2 linked regions of the Saccharomyces cerevisiae S288C genome follow. Each later gene encodes a partner of the first gene's protein in a complex. Each region holds a gene or a part of one and is shown on either strand. Other genes may lie near its edges. A codon is read from its position in the direction of its gene.

Region 1 (7,539 bases):
GAAGAAAAAAGGGACTGTTAGTAAGTCACCTATTTCAACACGAAAAGTTACACTATCTAAATCATTAGCGAGTTTGCTAGGAGAGCATGAATTGACGAGGACCGAAGTAGTACGACGACTCTGGGCATATATTAAAGCGCATAATCTGCAGAATCCTAACAACAAGAAAGAAATACTGTGCGACGAAAAATTAGAATTAATACTTGGCAAGAGTACCAATATGTTTGAGATGCACAAAATTTTGGCAAGTCATATGACAGAGCCTAAAAAAATAAGCGACTGTCCTCCTCTTATCCAAGAAGTCCGTAGAAAGGAAAAGCCCATCGTTTCAGATTCCGAGCAATCAGATACAAAGGGCATTTGAATCAAGGATATCATGAAAATTTCAAGGCGTTGAAATTTGTGTTGTTAAGGCAACACTATAGGAATGAAAAATGGCCTCTCTATTATAAAGTCCTTTTGCCTTATTTTTTCGGTAGCTGCCTACAATTTGTAACGTTAACATTCCCGGGTGAAAAGATACATGAGTATGTAGAGATTTGTATATATATACCTACGTAGAAAATAGAAAGGCGAATAGCTCTGCTCCTAGTTGAATATTAGTAGCGTTCTCACATCATTAAGAGGATAAGCCGGCATTTTATAGGGCTTTTGCAGCTAGTGTGAAACTTATGAATCGAACAGTCTCCACATTATCATCTACTGTATCTGATGTATCCGTGGAAATACCGTCAATATGCAACGTCATTAATACCGAATTACCAACATCAGATGTCTATCTTTACACTTTAAAACTAATTTTGTTGGATTATATCAACGAACCGCGATTTAAAGAAGCAGCTTTGCTATCGAATAGGACAGGAACGTCAAGGGTTTTATCTGACAAAACGAATCATCAGCAAACGCAACATGGGAAGAAACTAGTGGTTGACAAACAAGACGATATGTCGGAACGCGATATAGTACAGGCAACTTTACGTATATTAAAAGGGAAGTTGGCACAAATTTCAGGAAATAAAAACTTGGCGCCGAATGAGATGCATTGGAAAAGTATTGTTAAGATGTATTATAGCATGCTCGATTCTTCTAGTGCAGATACATTTTCCAAGATGGGTCAAATGGAGGAGGTGGTCGGTTATTTCACAAATATTGCCAGTAATGAACTAAAGAAAATGACTATTAAAAATTCTCGTGACGAGCTGTTCAGTGAAGTTGCTTATTTTATAGACCTAGTAATTGATGTACTTCCAGATAGTTGTGCAAATATCATAAAGAGACTGCTTGATTATAAGATTAATCTTAAAAAAGGCGAGACAACAGTAAAGAAGAAAAGAGCCGCCTCACCTGCCACAGTCCCTCAATATAGAAGCATTTCCGGGAGCACGATTAGCAATAAGCAACCCTCTTTCAAAGTCCAAGATATTTCACATATGAAGTATTTTATGCAGTTATTCGAAACAGATGAAACAAAGCTTCACCAAGACGTAATGGCTGTTAAGGACGATTGTACAAATCCCATATTTTGCGGTGAACTAAGATATCTTAGGAAAAAAATCAAGAAAGACAACGGTACTTTGACGGCTTCTGATTTTTCAAGTGACAGAGAATACAATTTATGGAAGAATTATGAACTTCTTGAAATTGCAAATTTAATGGATCGATTTGAGATAGGCGAAAAGGTTACCTCTCACGGAAACCGTCTTATACCCAAGGATGCAAAAAGCGTATTTGTCCGTCTCATAGGCCTTGTTTTAAAAAAAGAGTGTTCTAATGCTGTAAATGCCATAAATCTTTCTCAAGAAGCTCTATTCTTCTTTCATAAATCAGCGAGGTATTGGAGAATAGAATATCCTTCCACCATCTCCTCGTTGGTTTATTCAGCAGCAAATTTAAGTGTTCTAGGAGATGAAGAGCTAAATATCCCAATAACTGAAAACTTGTTTTCTGTCATCCGCAATAAATATTTATGTTCAGAGGATAATCTGGATCCATCCGCTTGGAATGCTCAGGATCGCTATTTATGGGCTGCAAACCTTTTTCATACGACTGATCAGTCTATGAGGACAATAAATAACCTTTTAACTGCGATATTTTCAGGTACAAAGCCAAAATTTTCTCCAGTTTTGTCATTTTATTATTCAAACATTGTTGGGGATCCAGTAATGGAATTCTATGAAACGCAGTCCGTAGCTGTAAAGAAATACTGGATCAAATTATTTAAGAAGACTCTTTTTAAAGCATCAGAGGATTATTTTGTCTCCCTTCTGCAGGATATGCTAAAGGCTAACGCAATAGAAATTCAAAACGTTCAGAATCTCGTAGAAACAATTATAGAAGCCATAAAAGCGATTCAAAAACGTTACAATAAACCTTTATTGGACGAAATATCTCTGCCTAGACAATGCGCAGTATTTCTATGTGAAGTATACGGTTCGGATTCTTTAAATCTAATAAAAACCGCTGAAAAGAGTACCATGAAAATGACTGGACAAAAGTTGGGTCCAATAGATGCGCTAGATATGTATGATGTACTGAAAGAACTGAGACAGATTTACCTGCAGGTAAAGCCAAAAGGGAAATTTTTCTTTAACCTTGAAAATTATTTCATCAAATATTTGACTCGATTATGTGATGATGTGAGCCGTAATGTTCAAAAAGTTATTAAATCTTCACTAGAAAGCGAGAATTGGCAACCCGTAAATGACCAGGACCATTTCAGTAGATCAGTTTTGGACATATTCAAAATGATAAATGAATCAACTAGCATGTTGGAGAAATTTGGTTGGCAAAATGAATTTCAACTGGCACAAATGATCACGGTAATATTAAAGGCGTTTTCAGATGGTATGCTTTCATACTCAGCTCAACTAATGGAATTGATCCAGAGAGATTTACAGGAGGGTGATGAACCATCCTACTCTTTAGAAAGCTCAGACACTCGATCTTCACTTAGCCTGAATAACGCTAACGTAAATCATGAAAAATCAAGAAGTAGTAGGCTGTTTGAAGATTTGAAAAATGTAGTTAAATCAACTCCGAAGATGGTAGCTCCTGCTCCATATCAGTTCAAGAAGCGTACGTGCGTACTGCTAAATGATCTTGATAAAACACTTTTTCTGTTAGAGAGCTTCGAAGAAAAAGCAGATCCATCAAAAATATCCTCTGTTATTGCACAGTACCACTCCTCCCATAATTTAGAGGATAATGGGAAGTCATTCGATGACCAGAATATGAAGCAAGTTTATACCCTTCGAATTATCGGTGCTGAAAATATTAAAGGCTTCAGCAAAACGGGGCTTTCAAACACCTACGTTTCCATGAGAAACATCACTTTACAACGGGAAATAGGTACTACTAAGATTGTTGCAAGATCGATTACTCCCAAATGGGACGAAGAGTTTGTGTTTGAGTCTCCATTCGGAAAGTCGAACGATATTATGTTTACTATATGGCACCACCCACACAGCAGATTAAAGAATTTAGCGGAAGATGATCTATGTGGAAAAGCCAATATGAAATTCACTCCGAGAAAGCTCAAGGATGATGGGTTTCCTATCGATTTTTCGCTCACATTGAATCCGCAGGGAACTTTATATTGCCAAATATCCCTGGAAAGTGAGAAAATAGATGCCGTTTCTTCTATGGGAAGAATATATAGATCTTTTAGCAGGTCAAGAGATCGTGCAATAAACCTAATAGTCAACAAATTTTCTGATTTTATTGCATTTGCCTTCTCGAGAACCACATTAAAAACAGTGTGTGGTCACCATGGTTCTGCACTTGCGTCTGACGAAGCAGTATATGACGCAATTTTACCACTATTTGACTATTTAAACGCAAATTTGAACATTCTGGCATCAGAACTTTCACAGAGATTGTTGTTTATGGTAATGCTAAGAGCGTGGAACCTCGTTTTAGAGAACGCTGATTTACTTCTTCTACCTGCATTGAATAGCGCTAAAGTTAATATATTGCGTTCAGCAAAGAAATCTTTGTGGGAAAATACTCTTTCAACCACAAAAACGGTATCAGGATACGGTCGTCCTTTGACTCAAGCGGAAATCGAGGCTGTATTCAAATGGCTTGATGCGCTGTGTGTAGATTTTTTTCATAATAAAGGAGAAGGTCCCCCTCTTGCAGAATTGAAAAATGAGTATTACCAAAATATATTGCTGATCCCAGCTTTTTATGATAAAAGTGTCTCCGAATTGAAGGATGAAGTTCAGCGATTGATTCCCCTATATGAAGAGTATTTGAGATGGTTTTATCTGAAGAAAACTCCGATTACTTTTACGAATAAATCCGCTGGAACAATATCTCGAAAAAAGTCGCTAGTAGCTAACATTGTAAAAGAGCCTAAGGAACAACTGGAACGTGATGCAGAAGTAATGAATATTATATTGAGAATATTGATCGCGAAAGGCCAACATGATTACGTTCATCGAATTTTACATGACAGAAAAGAACTTGTTAATACTATGAAAAATAGAAGAGCGGTGAGTAGAGCGGTCACTCCTACAGGAAAAAAGGGCAGAAACTGAAGTCTCTTTTATATATATACATGGGGTGCTGACTAAACAGTTCCACCCTATATTTGAGCGTCGATAAAAAATGAATGAACGTGTATCATCGTTTATTATAAGAATCATAGTTTTATGGACAAGTTTTCCGTTTAGCATTTATACCCATATAGTAAAAAGTTTCGCAGATAGTGCGATAGTTGTATTCTGATTGCCTTATTATTATTTCACTAATTCTTTATTCACGTAGAGCATGACACTTTTTTTATGTGTTTCCTTTTGATTGTGAAATAAAGGCGAATCCTAACAAATATTAAAATGTTTCAATACATTGATAAAAATTGTAAACATTATTTTTTTGTAGTATAAAAATTCGTTCCTCATCATTAAAGAAACAAAAAGCATACAGATAATAATAAAAAAGGCACTTTAGACAGAATGAGAATACTAGCAATCACGAATTCCTACTTTTCCTTTCTGTATCCCTAGGCGTTTCACTCGACAAGAATTGATCGTCTTGTACCAATCCAAGCAGATCGATATATACATATATATCTGGATTTCGAGAAGAAGGATATATTTTATTGCTTATTTGTCTTTTTATAAAATCTCTCCTAAGTTAAGTTCATGGGGAATCTGACTCTAAAAATGAAATCTTAGAAATGCAAAAAAAAAGAAAAAGTATGGGTGAGTCAGTTTCTTCCAAATATATACAAATGGTCATCATTTTCATTCCAAAGTTTCTTTACCAGGTCAACAAAACCATTATTTTTCGTTTCCAATTCGTAGATACCGTACAGGGACAACATGGATCCTCCATAGAGGCAATAAAGGGCGAGCTTATGCCATCTTGGATACTTTTCCTTCGGTATATAGTCAATAATACAACTTGTGAAGCCATACTGTAAATATATCAAAAAAATGGACGATAAAGACGCATCGAGTAAAGGATTTATAACCCCGCCGGTAAAGGAGGCATAAAAAGGTACCATTGTTAATGGAATCAAAGTATATTTTGCTATTCTCTCATAGTCTTTTTGATAAGAGTCCTTAAATTGAGAGAACTCTGGGGGCTTAAACATCTGCACTGAAGAGGATGCCTCTTTTGACGTATTTGCAATATCGTTTATTTTATTTTCAGCATTTAAACGATTAATGCTATAAAAGGATCTTTTGGTTGAAAGTACTAATCCTGGAAAAACAGCTCGTACAGGATTTACAATGACAGTGGAAGCATTAAGAACAGGCTTCAAGCCAGGAAACAATAGCATTACCAAAGGTATTAAATTACTCAGTTGTTGCACCTCGCATCACCGTTAATTAATGTGTGCATTCCACTGTCTGGAAGTTTTCATTTTTATCCGATCTTTTGCGAGAATGGTTTGTTTTTCAAAAAAACCGAGTGTCAACAAGGCATGTAGCGACACAAAATGAAAAATTGAAAGTTAACAGGGCAAGATATGCACCATAATAGATTCATTGTTAATCTTAATCAAATAAAATTTCTCTTTTCCACACAGAAAACTAAACGAAAGGTATAACTTTAAGATGGGTTTTGTTGATTTCTTCGAAACATATATGGTCGGTTCTAGGGTCCAGTTCAAACAGTTAGATATTTCTGATTGGTTGAGTCTGACCCCAAGGTTGCTTATTCTTTTTGGCTATTTTTACCTTCATTCTTTTTTTACTGCAATCAATCAATTCCTACAGTTCATTAACACGAATTCCTTCTGTCTTAGACTGCATTTACTATATGACAGATTTTGGTCGCATGTGCCCATAATAGGTGAGTACAAAATTCGGCTGCTCTCGAGGGCACTGACATATAGTAAACTGAAAATAATACCAACTTTAGACAAGGTGCTGGAGGCGATTGAAATTTGGTTTCAGCTACATTTAGTTGAAATGACCTTCGAAAAAAAAAAAAACGTCCAAATTTTCATAACCGAGGGAAGTGATGACCTAAACTTTTTTAAAGATAGCAAATTCCAAACCACATTAATGATATGTAATCATCGATCAGTGAATGACTACACATTGATTAATTACCTTTTTCTCAAAAGTTGTCCCACCAAGTTTTATACTAAATGGGAATTTCTACAAAAGCTGAGGAAGGGGGAAGATCTAGCTGAATGGCCTCAGTTAAAATTTCTTGGTTGGGGAAAAATGTTTAACTTTCCTCGATTGGATCTACTAAAGAACATATTCTTCAAAGATGAAACACTCGCACTCTCATCGAATGAGTTAAGAGATATTTTAGAAAGACAAAACAATCAAGCTATTACTATTTTTCCCGAAGTCAATATCATGAGTTTGGAACTATCAATTATTCAAAGAAAATTACACCAAGATTTTCCCTTTGTTATAAACTTCTATAATTTATTATACCCAAGATTTAAAAACTTTACCACTTTGATGGCTGCTTTTTCATCAATTAAAAACATCAAAAGAAAGAAAAACCGTAACAATATAATCAAAGAGGCCCGATACCTGTTTCACAGAGAACTTGACAAATTAGTTCACAAGAGCATGAAAATGGAGTCTTCCAAGGTATCCGATAAGACGACGCCGCCCATGATCGTAGATAATTCATACTTACTTACAAAAAAGGAAGAAATCAGCAGCGGCAAGCCCAAGGTGGTACGAATCAATCCATACATATATGATGTCACCATAATTTATTACCGAGTCAAATATACTGATAGTGGGCATGATCATACCAACGGAGATTTGAGACTTCATAAAGGTTATCAATTAGAGCAAATATCTCCGACAATCTTTGAGATGATTCAACCAGAAATGGAGTCTGAAAACAACATAAAGGATAAGGACCCCATTGTTGTGATGGTAAATGTAAAAAAGCATCAAATTCAACCATTACTCGCATACAATGATGAGAGTTTAGAAAAGTGGCTTGAAAATAGGTGGATAGAAAAAGATAGATTAATCGAGTCCTTGCAAAAAAATATTAAAATTGAGACCAAATAAAGATCCTGAATCATAATATATACGTGTGTAC
Region 2 (2,817 bases), on another chromosome or scaffold:
TTTTTTAAAATAGTGCTAGAATAATAAAGTTTTGTTCGAATTGTTTTCTTTCTTCTTTCCTTGTTCCTTAATATCTCTGCACACCTAGTTATTCCTCGAAAATAATTCTTCTTGTATTTACTTTATACAAAAGAAAAATGACCGCCTATGTTTGCTTTTTCTTGCCAGTAACAAATAATAGCTTCAATAAGTATCCGGAAAGAAATTATCTTGATATCTGTAAAAAATCACTGATATTTTGTTGAATATGATTACTCTTGCGCTATCTTTTCCTGTTTTTCCTCTTGTTTGTTCCTTTATTTTCTCTATTGTATTTTACAGAAAGGCAAAAAAATAAAAAATGTGCCCCTAGTAAATATAGGTTTGTGTTAATCGGCATTTTGGGTTATAAAGATCTTAAAGAATAAATAAGTGCGGTATTGGGTCATATATAGGAACGTATATATAAAATTGGCTATATATATATTTGTGTGTAGAAACAGGTGCGTCGCCTTAAAGAATCATAAAGTTAATAAATAAGTACCGAGAACGGCGGTGAAACCAATGAGAGCGTAACCAGTTCTGTAAACGCCTTTCAATGTCAATTCCTTAGCGGTATCCCAGATCAAGTGTCTAATGGCGCCACCATAGTGAATTGCAAATAAGTAAGCAAAGGAACCCTTGATGGACCATTCGGTAATCTTGGAAAACTTCTGATGGTACCAATTAGAAACCTTTTCGGTAGTCAATCCAAGACCTAATAAACCAGAGACTCCGAAGAGTATAGTAAACAAGTAGAAACCTAGTCCCATAAGCACCAACGAAATACGGTGAAGAGAAGACAGGTACCAAGTTAATTGTGGCTGGTAAATGGTCAGATGTGGAGAAATAGGTCTCTTTGCTCTTTGCTTGTTTAATATTTGTTCTTCAGCAATTGCCGCTTTGGTGTTCATTTCACTGGCCACATTCTTCAATGGTGAGGTAGAAAGGAAGTTTGTTCTAGCTGTATTAAAAAGCAGCCTCCTCGAGGAGCTCAAGGCAGCTGCTCTTGAAAAGGCGGAGGGTTTCAGTAATAGAGCCGACTTATTCAGTCCTAACTTGACCATCATTGCAGACATCGTTTATTATTCTTAGAGCTTGTGATTGGCAATTTTTGGTTGGTCCTGAGATTTCTATGCGGGGATCTCGATATCATAATGCCAGTGCACATTTATACAAGTACCAAACGCTTAGAGCGGAAAACGGAGCGGGCTACCGCAGCCAATCAGAATGGACCTGGTCAAAAGTTAGATGATGCTTAAGACTACTGAATGGTATACAAGGTAATATATAGAAGGCTGTTGGTATACAGCTTTCAATCACAGATAAAAAGTATAGGTATACTTATGGGAGGAAAACTTTGAATTCTTTTCTTCTCTTTTTCACCACTAGAACATCCTTTAACTGCAATGCCGCGGAAAACATAGGTTTCATTGAAAGAGAATCCTGTTATGATATACTCAAAACTATATGTATATAGATATATATATATATATAAGTGAGGGAAATTTCTAGAACCTGGAACTCAAGCCCTCTTATTCATTGATTTTTCATTTTTTTTCATTTTCTGTTTACCATATTTCGGTTCCTCTTCTAAGGGAGAGACCTAGATAGCGGGCAACATCATTAAATGCATCATCTAGCTCATCTTTGGAGAACTTTTCCAACTCCTTAGAAATCTCTTCATCAGTGGTCTCATTAATGTGAAAGGCTTCCACCTTACCTTCCAGGAAGTTTTCAAAATCTTCTTGTTCCTTTAGAGTTGGTGGCAATCTTTCGTAGAATTTAGCAAGTCTTACCAGTTTTAAGTCTGGGATGTCTTTAAATTCTTTCAACGACTTAGGGAACACTCCGTCTGAAATAGCAGGAATATCACCATCTGCATTAGGCAGTGGCGCTATAACGTCATCATCATCTTTTTTCAAAGAGTTAACAAGTCTTCTGATAGACCTTTCCTCGATGAAATTTAGCTCACCCTGTAGTTCTTTGACTAATTCCACTAGATCTTCATTTGTGGCAAAATCAGTGGCATCGAATTGAGTAGCGGATCCTGATTTCTTCGAGATAGATTTAGAGAATTTCGAATCAAAATCAGTTACGTCGTGCTTTTGTTTATCTAACTGCAATTCCAGCACACGCTCTCCTGTCTTAGAGATAATCAGACTTTGCTTCTTCACTAAGTCTTGTAATTCAGAGACTTGCTTCTGCAGTAATTCAATTTCGTTAGACATTTTCTTCCTGCTATTTATTTATGTGTATTTACTTCCTTTCTTAAAATGTACTTTATCTGCGGAATACGAGTAGTAAGACAAGATATCTCAAACGGTTACTAATTTGAACGGCTCTTTGAAGCAATGCACGCCGGTTTTCTTTATACTAAAACAATATTTGAATAATGAAAATCGACCTCCTTCCTCCACCCCCTTTCTCCGAAATCCACAAAGAGCACCGCCGCGTTTCATAATTATTACCCGGTGGGCAGGATGTATTTTAGCATCAATGCATTCTAGGCTAAGTATACATGTCTACACAGTACTTGTAATGTAGGTGCTTTCTCATCTCATTCTACTCCTCTAAAATTTTAAGCTGCTTAGTGTATTGGTGACCTTCTCAAGTTTCTTTTTCTCTTGCCTTTCACGATTTCTTCTCTGAGACAGTTTACCTTTGCTTACTTCATCAGCAGCTTCCTTCAGCCTTTCAATTTCTTTATCTTTCTTAGCCAGTTTACGGCCACCACTCTCCAGTTCGTAATTGTCCAAAAAGTCATCAAGCATTGACTCAAAATCAGATCTTTCTGCT

The links. Proteins that work in one complex are often made in the same cells at the same time.
Region 2: the proteins of TIM18 (region 1) and SDH3 are in contact, whole or in part, in a cryo-EM structure (PDB 6LO8), measured with the Saccharomyces cerevisiae proteins. Residues at the interface, in NP_014940.4 of Saccharomyces cerevisiae: Gln63 (codon at 5,605), Met64 (codon at 5,602), Pro67 (codon at 5,593), Pro68 (codon at 5,590), Glu69 (codon at 5,587), Phe70 (codon at 5,584), Arg83 (codon at 5,545), Lys86 (codon at 5,536), Tyr87 (codon at 5,533), Ile90 (codon at 5,524), Thr93 (codon at 5,515), Met94 (codon at 5,512), Phe97 (codon at 5,503), Phe101 (codon at 5,491), Ser115 (codon at 5,449), Phe118 (codon at 5,440), Leu119 (codon at 5,437), Tyr121 (codon at 5,431), Leu122 (codon at 5,428), Gln123 (codon at 5,425), Gly125 (codon at 5,419), Phe126 (codon at 5,416), Tyr133 (codon at 5,395), Gly153 (codon at 5,335), Ser154 (codon at 5,332), Leu156 (codon at 5,326), Ser157 (codon at 5,323), Tyr159 (codon at 5,317), Gly160 (codon at 5,314), Ile161 (codon at 5,311); in NP_012781.1 of Saccharomyces cerevisiae: Leu92 (codon at 824), Ser93 (codon at 821), His96 (codon at 812), Arg97 (codon at 809), Leu100 (codon at 800), Val101 (codon at 797), Met103 (codon at 791), Gly104 (codon at 788), Leu105 (codon at 785), Phe107 (codon at 779), Tyr108 (codon at 776), Phe110 (codon at 770), Thr111 (codon at 767), Ile112 (codon at 764), Phe114 (codon at 758), Gly115 (codon at 755), Ser117 (codon at 749), Gly118 (codon at 746), Leu119 (codon at 743), Gly123 (codon at 731), Leu124 (codon at 728), Thr125 (codon at 725), Thr126 (codon at 722), Ser130 (codon at 710), Tyr133 (codon at 701), His134 (codon at 698), Lys146 (codon at 662), Phe153 (codon at 641), His156 (codon at 632), Tyr157 (codon at 629).

What each region holds. Positions count from the first base shown.
Region 1 is NC_001147.6:869,531-877,069, forward strand, and holds TIM18 (Tim18p), read right to left. Parts: upstream 5,792-7,539; coding exon 5,213-5,791; downstream 1-5,212. Other genes in the region: UAF30 (Uaf30p), read left to right, coding at 1-364; YOR296W (uncharacterized protein), read left to right, coding at 672-4,541; MUM3 (Mum3p), read left to right, coding at 6,069-7,508. UniProt on the Saccharomyces cerevisiae protein: Component of the TIM22 complex, a complex that mediates the import and insertion of multi-pass transmembrane proteins into the mitochondrial inner membrane.
Region 2 is NC_001143.9:177,947-180,763, reverse strand, and holds SDH3 (succinate dehydrogenase cytochrome b subunit SDH3), read right to left. Parts: upstream 1,098-2,817; coding exon 501-1,097; downstream 1-500. Other genes in the region: MRP8 (Mrp8p), read right to left, coding at 1,590-2,249; ribosome biogenesis protein LTV1, read right to left, coding at 2,592-2,817. UniProt on the Saccharomyces cerevisiae protein: Membrane-anchoring mono-heme cytochrome b subunit of succinate dehydrogenase (SDH) that is involved in system II of the mitochondrial electron transport chain and is responsible for transferring electrons from succinate to ubiquinone (coenzyme Q).